Linked DNA regions of Canis lupus familiaris. Each later gene encodes a partner of the first gene's protein in a complex. Links are inferred from orthologs where the notes say so. Each region holds a gene or a part of one and is shown on either strand. Other genes may lie near its edges.

The links.
Region 2: the proteins of PTPRG (region 1) and CNTN4 are in contact, whole or in part, in a crystal structure (PDB 3KLD), measured with the Mus musculus proteins. The link is inferred for Canis lupus familiaris from reciprocal best matches to the Homo sapiens genes PTPRG and CNTN4. Residues at the interface, in NP_033007.2 of Mus musculus: Lys222, Val225, His226, His227, Lys229, Phe288, Thr290, Gln293, Asp294, His295, Val296, Lys297, Ser298, Val299, Glu300, Tyr301; in NP_001103219.1 of Mus musculus: Thr128, Arg129, Ser130, Val132, Ser133, Arg135, Gln138, Gly139, Met140, Val141, Leu142, Leu143, Cys144, Gly145, Val219, Met220, Gly221, Glu222, Tyr223, Glu224, Pro225, Lys226, Glu228, Leu250, Asn304.
Region 3: the proteins of PTPRG (region 1) and CNTN6 are in contact, whole or in part, in a crystal structure (PDB 5E5U), measured with the Mus musculus proteins. The link is inferred for Canis lupus familiaris from reciprocal best matches to the Homo sapiens genes PTPRG and CNTN6. Residues at the interface, in NP_033007.2 of Mus musculus: Val225, His226, His227, Lys229, Phe288, Thr290, Gln292, Gln293, Asp294, His295, Val296, Lys297, Ser298, Val299, Glu300, Tyr301; in NP_059079.2 of Mus musculus: Arg129, Val132, Arg135, Gln138, Gly139, Val140, Val141, Leu142, Leu143, Cys144, Gly145, Met222, Gly223, Tyr225, Glu226, Pro227, Lys228, Glu230, Leu252, Asn306.

The regions. Positions count from the first base shown.
Region 1 is NC_049241.1:29,656,436-29,660,648, reverse strand, and holds the start of PTPRG (receptor-type tyrosine-protein phosphatase gamma), read left to right. Parts: upstream 1-1,351; 5' UTR 1,352-2,103; coding exon 2,104-2,188; intron 2,189-4,213.
Region 2 is NC_049241.1:14,426,459-14,430,103, reverse strand, and holds part of CNTN4 (contactin-4), read left to right. Parts: intron 1-2,209; coding exon 2,210-2,359; intron 2,360-3,645. UniProt on the Homo sapiens protein: Contactins mediate cell surface interactions during nervous system development. Has some neurite outgrowth-promoting activity. May be involved in synaptogenesis.
Region 3 is NC_049241.1:15,980,774-15,984,418, forward strand, and holds part of CNTN6 (contactin-6), read right to left. Parts: intron 3,182-3,645; coding exon 3,023-3,181; intron 2,910-3,022; coding exon 2,760-2,909; intron 92-2,759; coding exon 21-91; intron 1-20. UniProt on the Homo sapiens protein: Contactins mediate cell surface interactions during nervous system development. Participates in oligodendrocytes generation by acting as a ligand of NOTCH1.

The DNA.
Region 1 (4,213 bases):
GGGGGGCCCCGTGTGATGGGATCAAACAGCAGGGGCGCGTTAAAAACATTTGTCAGAAAGCCTTTCTAAACAGAGGCGGAAAAATTAGGCAAAAATTACAAATGGCAAATTACCTTGGCTCGCTTACAGCGTTTCATCAGAAGCCGGCCTCCCCCACTCTCGGCACCCGCGGAAGGGGAGAAAATAGGGCGCTTAGAAGTCTGAGCGATAAGGATCTTCTCACCGAGAGCCCAGGGACAAAACTCATTACAGATAAGCCCAGTCCTCCCGTTTCCACCGGACGCCTCTCCTCTCCCGGGTTGCTAACGAGGCAGCCGCTCCCCGGGCAGCCGCCAGGAAGCCGGGCCAGCCCCGCGGCGCTGCTTTCCCCCAGCCCGGGGCGAGGGGCGCACTTCCCGCGCTCTCCGCACCGCCCGGCCCGAGCGCGGGAACCTTCCCTGCTCCCGCCGAGCTGCGAGTTGGGAAAACTCCGCCGCCGAGGCGTCGGGGCGAGAGGGGGGAGAGGGTGTGCGACCGCAAGGGCTGCGTTTTGCAAGCCTGGGATCGATATCTTCCCCTCCCCCCACCCCCAGCCGCGGACTCGGCCAATGGAAGCCTGAAAGGAGGGAAAAAAAAAAAGAAAGAAAGAAAGAAAAAAAAAAATCCCGACGCAGCCCGAGTGCACAGGCCTCTCTCGGCTTTGTTTCCAGGCGGGGGGCTGTGCCGGGCTGGGGGCGCGAGCGGGGACTGGGCAGGGCGCGCCCCGCGGCGGCGCTGCTGGAGCCGAGCTGGGAAGCTCTCCGCCCTGCCCTAAGGAGGAAGGCAGCCGCCCGACCCCCGTCCTCTCCTCCGACCCCAATGCAGCCCCTCTCTCCAAAGGCCCGGGATCTGCGAGCAACGCGCACGGAGAGGCGCCCTCTCGCCAAGCCCGCGCAACGCTCGGCGTCTTTAAGAGCTCGCAGAACTGGAATCTGGCAAAGACTCGCCAGCTCAACCAGGCAGCCGCCCTCCTCCGTGTCTCGGAGACCCGGCCAGAGCCGTCCCCAGCTCCCCCCCGCCAAACTGGCTGAGCCGAGCCCGCAGCCCCGCACCCGGGTGGAGGGCGGGGGGGGGGGGCGCGAAAGCGCGCGCGCGCGCGCGGGGAGAACCCGGCGGCGGGACCCCCTCCAACGCGCGAGCCGAGAGCGGCTGCTTTAAGAGCGCGGTGAGCGCGCGCCCGCCGCCCGCGGCCCCGGCCCGCGCGCCCCCGCGCCCCCCGCCCCCGCGCCCGCCGCCGCGCGCTCCCCCCTCCCCGGCCCGCGCGCCCCCGCGCCCGCCGCCGCGCGCCCCCTGCTCGCTCGCTCGCCGGCTTTAAAGTCTCTGCCAGGATCCATGCTCACATGTTACTTCCTGTATGGAGGCATGGCCAGTTTCCAGCCCCGCGCTCCTCGTTCCTCCCCAGCCTGCGCTGGAGCCACAACTTTCAGGAGCATGGACTGAAGGCGCCCTCGCCCCTGCGCCCCTCTGAGATCCTTTGTGTTTTCCTCCGTTTCCTCCGGCCGTTTCTATTTCGGGGGGCTCCTCGCTCCCCCCGCCTCTCCCCTCCCCTTCCCCGCGCGCAAACATGCCTCCTTCCTTCCCCGGGCCCTGGAAGGAGCTGCCTGCCTGAAGCCGGGAGACGCCGCGCCGCGCCGCGCTCAGCCCCGCCGCCGCCCGCCGGCTCCCGGGCTGCGCCGCGCCGCCGACTCAAGTTGGGGATCTCCGGCTGCTCGCCGCTGCCGCCTGCGGTCCTGCGCGCCCCGGGCCCCGGGCATCGTCGCCGGCCGCCGACCGCTCGCCCTGCTCGCCCGGCTCGCTCTTGTTTCTGAACGGGAAGCAGCCCTTCTCCGCCGAGGATCGTCCCCAGCGTGGCTCCGCGTTCCCGGTCACTTTTTGAGATTTTTTTTTTTTTTTTCCCCGGGGGGCGCTCGGCGGCTTCCCGGATTCCGGGGGGGACTCGGGCCACCGAGCGCAGGGGGGCCCCGTGGAGCGGGCGAGCCGGGGAAGAGCCGGGGCTTCGCGGAGGCTCACTCGGAGGCGAGAACTTATTCAACAAGTTTACCCCCCCTCCCCCTGCCTTCCTCTTTTCGATGTGCGTTTTCGGACATGCGGAGGTTACTGGAACCGTGTTGGTGGATTTTGTTCCTGAAAATCACCAGTTCCGTGCTCCATTATGTCGTGTGCTTCCCCGGTGAGTGCCGGCCGCGGAGCGGACCCGGCCCTGGCCGGCGCGCGCGGGGGATGCGGAGTTGTCGCCGCGGCACCGGAGCTCGGGCGCCCGTCCCGGGGACCCCAGCGAGGGTGCAGGGGGGCCGGGCACGCAGAGAGGAGAGAGGCATCCGCTCCGCTGGTTCTGGCGGCGTTTAGGGAGGCTGGTGGTTGGTGAGGGTGGAAGCAGGAGCTGCCCGGGAAGGGGGACCGGGGCCGTAGGGGTCTGCTCTTGCTTGGGTTCGTGGCGGGGGTGGGGAGGGGGGGGGATGTCTTGGAGAGCCCGAGTGGGGAAGATAATAATAATAATAAAAAAGATCGCTTTGCTGATCCGCCAGCGTTCGGGAGAGCGAGAGCTCTGGGGGCGGTCGAGGAGCCTAGGGCCAGGGAGAGGATGCCTCTGTGGTTTGGGGGGGGGCCCAAGGTGCGCCCCTCGCCCCCGAGAGGATCGAAGGAGCTCCGGAGGAGGGGGACTTTGCTTTGCTGCCTCCTGACCCTTTTTGGAGAGGCTGGGGTTAGGAGGACGGAAGCTGGAGGCTGACGGTGGAGGATCGGGGATGTTGGCAGCAGCCTGCATTCTCGTGCCCGGGGCGAGGGGCGACCCCCGCTCGGGGCTGGGGCGCCGCGGGGCTGCGCTCTGGTGCTGGAGTGAGGCAGCCCTCCCGGGCGCGGGGGCCCGGGGCTGGGAGCGGGCGGTTTAGGGAGATCGTGGCTCTCCCCCGGCCCCGGCCCGCGGCGGCCCCTGCACCCTGCACCCTGCAACTCTGCTCGGCGGGGCTGCTCCAGTGGGGGCGCAGGGGGGCGGGGGTGGTCGGCGGCTGGGTGGCTGTTCGCGCCGGGGCGGATTTTCTTCCTGTCTCGCGCGCCCTGCCTACCTTCATCTTTGCCCTTTTGCAGGCTGTTCCCGGCTGGCCGAGCTAGACTAGACTCGCTTCTTTCTGGCCGGCTTAAGACGGGAACAGTATTGGCCACGGGTGACGGTGATAAATGAGCACACGCAGCGGTGTGCGGCTCGGCGACCCTCCACTTCCAGCCCTCCGCTGGCCGAGCCTCCCGCAGGGCAGAGGCCAGCCGCCTCCCTCGCCCCTCGTGCAGACACCCCCACCCCTGTTCTCCCCAGTGCAGCCCCCCACCCCCCACCGGCTACACCTACACCCCGGTGCTCCTCGGAGTCTGTCCGGCCCCCTCCCCGGGGGTGGAGGCCACGTCCTCTGCCCTAGTCGGGGAACGGGTGGGAAGGAGGGGGCGATTCGCTTTTTGATCTCGCTGTTCTGAGGATAGGGAACCCCTCCTTTTTTTCTGCCCTCTCATCCAGTAGCTCTTGGCTACCCAGAGGTAGGTAGGGGGTTATCTGAGCGAAGGAAGACAGGAACGTGCCCTGATGTTTCTGCCCTCCCTGCTCACGGCCGCCTGTCCCCGAGCGGCCTGAGCGCAGGGTTTTGGTGCAGCGGGTCCTCCAGCTCCATCGTGCGCCCTGCAACAGGGCGCGGGCGCTCTCGCTGCCCTCGGGGACCCGCTCGGGGAGCGGCAGCGAGTGTCCCTTGTGCAGGCACACGGGTGGCTTCGAGGAGCAGAGAGGCAAAGCCCCCCTTGCCCCTCTGCACATCCTCCATCCCCTCGGGACCCGCAGGGAGCTCCTGCCACTGCCAGAAACCCAGCTCGGATGGCTCGCGAGGACGTGCGTCCACACTAACCCTGAGGCCTGCGGTTGGCCTACCAGGGTCCTGCCTCCACGGGGCTGGGGATGGTGTGGACATTTCCCCTTAAAAAAAAAGAAAAAAAAAAAAGCCTTCTCTCCCTTAAAAGACTTGCTCAGTATTTGTGGTCCCCCCCGCCCCCATCTGCTCCTTCTAGACTTTCTGTGCCTTGGACTTGCCAGCCCGAGGGGGCTCAGGTGCACGGTGGGGTCGAGCTTTGTAAGGGTCGCGCTTTAAAGGGGGCAGTGGGCGGCAGCCTTGCGAAATAAGGAATTTTAATTCCACTTCTGGCCTTCTCCTTAGCTCGGGGG
Region 2 (3,645 bases), about 15 Mb from region 1:
TCTCAAGAAATCAATAACTAAGGACTGCCTGGAGCCTCTTGACTTGCTATCCATTTTTTTTTTAGATGGTTGAGTTTGGAAATGAAGAGGCATGAGATTTTGTTATATTAAAAACTATGTGAGATGGCCATATCTTGATGTTTTGAGGTAGAAATACATGGAGCGATAGGCCTAGTTCTGCGCAACTCAGGTGAATCATACTGATTTTAACAACCTCGTTTGTTTTTCACATCAGTTTATCCAACCTCAGAAATGGGTTTCTGTGTTTCCAGTTCAATCTCTGACTTTCTTCTGAGTCACAAGAGTGCTTAGGAAGGAAAGATAGGAAAAAGCTGGAAGTTAGGGGATCATGCAGTCCTGACTCTGCTACTTGGTAGATCGCTATACAGTTGCGTTTTCCTCGGCTGTTAAATGGGCATGATAAGAATTGTTTATGACCCAAAGAGAAACGATTGTGAAACTTTTTTAAAAACAGGAAGTACTACATAAATATAATGAACGAAAGGAGGGACACCTGGGTGGCTCAGAGATTGAGCATCTGTCTCTGACTCAGGTCGTGATCCCAGGGTCCTGAGATCGAGTCCCACATCGGGCTCCCCACAGGAAGTCTGCTTCTCCCTCTATATCTCTGCCTCTCTCTCTCTCTCTGTCTCTCATGAATGAATAAATAAAATCTTTTTTAAAAAATTACTAGAATTTGCTGAGCCCTTGATATGTGCTATATGTTCTGCTAAGTCCTTTTTTTGGATTTTCTCAACAGTACTATGAATAGATATTGTTATTAACCTCAATGTTTGGTAGGGAAACCAAGGCATGGAAAGATTAAGTAACGTGCCCAAGGTCATTGGGCTACTAAGCATGGATTTGGGTTTAGAATACAGATGGTCTGACTCCAAAGCCCCACACTCTTTACCTTTGGAAGTTAGGACTGTGTTAGTTGTGGCCTAGGGAGGCTGGCAGCCACTGAACCCTAGTCACCTGTATGATGGCCTCAGCTTTGTCAAAGTTGATCTCCCTTTCAGAGTTCTGGGCTACGTAGGAAATATTTATTTTTACTTTATTTTTATTTGTTATTATTTTTTTTTAGTAAGCTCCAGCCCACTATGGGGCTACTTTATTTTTAATTGTTTTGTTTTGTTTTTTTTTTTAGTAAGCTCTAGCCCAATATGGGGCTTGAACTTACAACCCTGAGATCAACAGTTGCATGCTCTACTGACTGAGGTAGAGGTAGGCACCCATTGCATGGAGAATCTTTATGATAACTGGTTTAAAAAGTTGTTCAGAAAAAAATAAAAAAATAAAAATAAAAAATAAAAAGTTGTTCAGTGAGCATAGAGGCAATGTCCACAGCTTCTTCGCTTATGGCACCAAATAGTGGGCCATGTCCTCTTGGCAAGGAGCCCTTCTCCAAATACTGCTGGGTGGATACTGTCAAATTCTACTTCTCTGACTCCCTTTTTTGTGTTCTCCATGGCCTTTCCTTTTATGTTTTCAGATTCTTTCTTGAGATATGTTAGTAGAGTTCACTGTCAGTAGTAGTATAGCTTTGTAATATTGTTAACTTCATTATGATGAGTTATAGAACTTGGACCACACAGTTTGACGAAGATGCAGATCCAGTGCAATCTTGGGTTAGTAACTTAACCTTTATAAGGCCCATTTTCCTCATCAATAAAAACAAAGTAATTTTAATTTACTCATAGAATAGTTGTAAAAATTAATCAGTGTGGGGCAGCCTGGGTGGCTCAGCAATTTAGCGCAGGCTTCAGCCCTGGGCATGATCCTGGAGACCCAGAATTGAGTCCCACATCGGCCTCCCTGCATGGAGCCTGCTTCTCCCTCTGCCTGTGTCTCTTCCTCTCTCTCTCCCTGTGTCTCTCATGAATAAATAAAATCTTTTAAAAAAAAATCAGTGTGCCCAACACTGTGCAATAAATGCTGAAAAATGTATCAGGTGATAGCAGTAATGATTACAGTCAAGTGCTTTGAGGCCTTGAAGACCCTAATGTCATCGTCTCATACCTGATTAGAAACTTGTTAGTTTAGCAAAGGGAGTTCTGGGATTGCTTCCCTGTAACAGCTGTTGTGCAACTACTCTCAGGCCACCTACAGTGCCCTGCACACCGTAATGGTGATGGTGATGGATGGAAGTTCCTATCTGCTTAACATGGAATCCTGTAAAACATCCCCACCTTCTGATGTCTTTCAGTCCCAGAACTGATTGATGGGAAGACATTCACAGCGACCGTTGTGGGTTTGAACCCGTGGGTTGAGTATGAATTTCGCACAGTTGCTGCCAACGTGATTGGGATTGGGGAACCCAGCCGGCCCTCAGAGAAAAGGAGGACAGAAGAGGCTCGTGAGTAGCAGCCAGGACACAGAGAGTCTGTGCTGGTGGCTATTATTTCTCAGGAAAAGGCTTTGAATTCTTCCTACTTTAAGCCCTAATGAAGCTCTGCATCAGCACCCCCTGCCCCTTGAATAGTTATAATGATCAGAAATCAGGCCAGTAGATGCTCAGCTTAGTTCAGTTCTCACTCTTCCCTGGGTCACCTTGTACAAAGAGAGACACCGTGTGCTTCGTCTTTCAAACACCAGCACTTTCTTTGTTGGTTCATTTGTCACCAAGATTCTCCAACCAGGAATTATTTTTTTAATACGCACACCCACATTTCAAATGAAATCAACACACAGAAATCACTCGTCACAAATAATCAATTCTTCAGAAATGTTCAGTAAGATTTTCTTAGAGTATCAACCATGCCCAGAAGCTAAAATGCAGAACATCCTGCTAATTCATACAAGCCCAGTCAGCAATTTAGCAGGACCCTCTGTGTTCACAGCTTGCATGAGCACAGGGAGAGAAAACCTGCACCTATGTCAGTTGTACATTTCCTTCTCTTGTGCAATGGGAGGCCTACATTACGTGTGGGGCTCTGTAGAGTCCCCAGCTGTAATAGGGCCCGATGTTTGTTGAAGGTTCCTAAGCAGAAGGGAACTCTGACCCTACTCTTGGACAGAAACCCTCTAGATTGATTTCATTATCTCTAACCGAGGGAACACACCCAGTCACCAATTTTTAAATTCTGTCTGGAGTTTTCCATTTACATGATGATCACGTCGCTAATCCCCATTCTTTCTTTTCCCCCTCCAAAACTGTCATTTAATTGATTCCTCTCAGCAGTCCTGAGAAGGAAGCTAGCATAATCTCCCCTCTTTTACAGAGAAATCTGGGGATCAAAGAGGTTAAGCACAGTGAGCCAGGGGTCAACCTATGTCCACCACTTCCTTCAGCACCCAGCTCAAAACTCACCTTCCTCCGAGAAGCCATTAGCCCAACCCTACTCTGAGCAGCCTGCTACTTCAGAACGCCACCGCACTTCATTCTGTCTGCACCGTATTGTTGTTTATTGTCAACATTCCTCTGTAATTGTTCTGCATGTGCTCTCTGCCTTCAACAAGATTGTAAACTCTGCACGGGCAGAGTGTGTATTGTCCTGTCTTTTGTGTACCACCGCATGGTTAATAAACGCCTATCCAAGCATTAGAACCAGAACTTCAGTCCTTTCAAACCACTGAACTTCGGCCTCTAGGGATGGAGCTCAACAATTGGGCAGACTTGTCACATACCTTGTGTACCTTGTT
Region 3 (3,645 bases), about 14 Mb from region 1:
TGAGTTGGATAGAAAATTACCTCCCACGTAATGACGAGTTCCGACCGACTTCCACCACCTCCATTGATGTTTGTTGGTGCCACAACAGGGACTGGAAGCAACCAAGAGAAACGTGGGACAGCGATTATTAAAGTACATCTTCATCAGGAAGAATTTTGTTTTTAGATTTCACCTTTCAAAATCTCATGCTGCACATTGTGAGAGTCTTGCATTTTTAATGAACATAAATTATGTTTACACATATCCAAATTTCTAAGAGAGAGGACACAGTTGTGTTTGATCCATGAGCACCCTGGCTCCAAAATTAATTAAAAATCGAGTAACATCATGTATTTGACATTATTATGCATCATCTGCTAATTGGCAAAATGATGTTCCATTCAGATGGTAACAGTGACACCGCTGATTTAGTGCCTAATTATACAGTTGTGCTGTAAACAAGTTACTGAGGCAGTATATTAATTAATTCTTTTTTGTAATAAACAAACTAAAATGATTTTTTTTTAGTCAAGATGGCTTAACATTTAAAAATGCATTCTTAAAAATACGTAAGTACATAAATCCTTGTTATTGTAACTCTGTGTTTGAATCTCACATCTCCCAGTACAGAACAGGAAGGACTCTTCCTCTGACTTTTCACTTGCCAGTTAAGAGGATGGCCTCCTGTCAAGGATGTGATAGAGAGTATTTTCTCCGTTTAATTCTAGGACTCTAAGGCTCTGTGGGAGAACATTCTAGACACTGATCATTTGAATTAGAAAACAATTATGCCCATCATGTATACCCTTGTGAGGACTCATATAACGAATAATAAGTAGTTTGAGGTAAATTACAAAATTGATGACAGTTATATGTGTGGGTCTTGTAGTATGTAATCAGAATGGGGTTTGACTTCATATACGTGGAAGTGCTAAAATGTAATCCTTTTCATGAAATAATGGCAGATGCATCCTAAAACTGTGATAATGGATATATCTGCATGATATATTTTTAAAGGTTGAAGTACATGTAATTATCTATATTTGGCCATTTTTTATCAAGATCTAGAGGTGGGGGGGTGGAAGTACCTGGTTATTTTTGCTGACTGGAGGGCAGGAATTAAAATACATACTATTTCATTGCCCATTTCAAAATTTTCTTTCACTGTGAAGACCATTCAGACAAATCTAGACTACTTATTTTATTTACTGCCATTTGTTACAGATGTTTAACTTTATAAACAACACAGTGATATAATAGTCTAATTCTTCTTTTTAATAATAGCACCTATCAGACATTATCCATTTTCATATTCAAAGTTGCCCTTTGTCACTACTTTGAACTTCACAATATATTTAAAAGATTGCCTTGTACCTATACCCTATTTTCTAATTTCTATTTTTCAAATGAAACATACTAAACCTAAAACCGTATTGAGAAGCATCTTTAAGAAGCTACACACACAAAAAAAGGACACACTTCAGTATCATTTGGAAATTCAGGGTAATTATATTATGAACACCAAGTCATACCATGCTATTGAAACAAGACTGTCGGAGCTTATTAGAAGGTAGTGCACAAGCTTTATGTAAAACTTTATAGTTAGAGTCAACCCTGCCCAAAGCTACCATGATCTGAATCAGCTGTACAAAATGACATAAAACTCATGGTAAGAGTGAGACATAGGCCACCCTTGGAGATTTTCATCCAGCCAATCTATGGTAAGGACTGGAGACTTTTATATTTACACATTTCCTTATGCCAATTTCTTGCTCATCTAGGTTAAGACCCATAGTTATGGAAAAATGCTGGTGCACAGCCTGAAGGTCTGAGTTCAAATTCTGACTCTTTCTGAAATAGTCAGCTAAGATCCTGGTTTTCCTTTTCCTCTTCTGTAAAATGAAGGACTCTCCTCTCAACTCTAAACTTCTATGATCTAATTTAAGATCTTACTGTCAAAAATGTTTTTCTGTCCCAATCCTACAATAAAAATACTTATATTATCTTTAATATGAAAAAAGCCTTATTGACATCTGACAGTTGTACACACTTAATTGAAGTACTTTGTGCTTGTTAAACTAAGCCAGTGACAACAGAGTGATCCCTCATTTATATGACTGAATAAGAATGTGAACTTTGTCAGCTGCACACAGCAAGCAGATCAAATGTTACCCTGGATGTAAAATTTAGGAGTGGAACAAAGAGGATCCATTGAAAAAAACTTAAGAAGAGGTGATTTCTGAGCCAGGTTCCACTTGTATTTTGCTGTTCAGTGAACCAACTGATGCTCAATTAGTGCTTCTGTTAAATGAGCTTAGGATTTTCCTCATTTGCATGGGAAAGGATTTATACTATTGCTCAATGAAGCTGCAACTAGGTCAGAGTTGAGAAATAGATGGAAATGTGTGGCTGATTGCACCTACAGAGTCTCAATTAATTCTTGGCTACAACATTTAATGAAACAAGCAGTAACTCATTTGCATGTACAAATCTACAGATTCTCTGTTGGAGTTTGGCTAGAAAATAGATGAGATGAGAGGACAGATTCTGAAAAACTCTTATTTTTGACATGTCTGCTTAGTTATAATCATCTCTTATTGAACTTATATTTAGGAGAAAATACTCCTTGCTTTGTGTACATACAAATGTTAAAATGAAAGCTGATGGTTTCCTGCCTCTGATTTGGGGCCCCAAACAAGACCCATAAAAATACTTCTTACTTGTTTTCTTTAAGAACTACATGGTAAAAAGTCTTCCATGAATTTAGAATAATTTCTTACCTGATGCTTTGGTTCTTAACAATTCTGATGCTTTACTTGGTTCTCCAATCCCAATGCTATTTCCAGCAACGACGCGAAATTCATATTCCACCCAAGGACTCAAACCAATCACTGTTGCATTGTACGTCTTGCCATTGAGAATTTCTGGAACTAAAAAGGGAGTGGCACTTCAGGCATCAAAACTATCACTACTTAACAACAATCAATCAATCGAACAAAAATCTGTTTTAGAAAAAGCATCTGAAAACACTGGTGTCACTTACCAGTTGAAACAGCCTGCCAACCCACTGAAAATGGTGTCCGAGCTTGAACAGTAAATATTTGAATGGGACTATTATTATCTGAGCCTGGTCTCCAGCTTAGTTGAGAAGTAGTACTGGAAATGTGTTCCACTCTTACATCCTCAGGGGGACCTGGTGGACCTTGAAAAATATGTTCGATGATTCAATTATCTTTTAATAATTGAAAATTATTGAATTCATTGATTTGAGATGGGGCAGTTTATTCTTATCTGTTATACTTAGAAAATAAAGTATTGAACATAAAGGTACTTGTAGGAAATTATTTGAGATAAAGCCCTATTAACTCAGTTTACCTGGTAAGAGACTAATTTAGAAACCATTCTTTGAAAATTAGAAAATTCTGGGGCACCTTATGGCTCAATCAGTTAAGTGACCAACTCTTGGTTGGCTTAGGTCATGATCTCAGGGTTGTGGGACAGAGCACCATGTTGGGCTCTGTGCTGGGCAAAGAGCCTTCTTAAGATTCTCTCCTTCTCCCTCTGCCCAACTGCCCTTCCCTCTTAAAAAAAAAAAAAAAAAAGAAAGAAAGAAAGAAAAGTCCAAACATGGGATGTTTGATTATCATTTGTTAGGGACCTAATCTC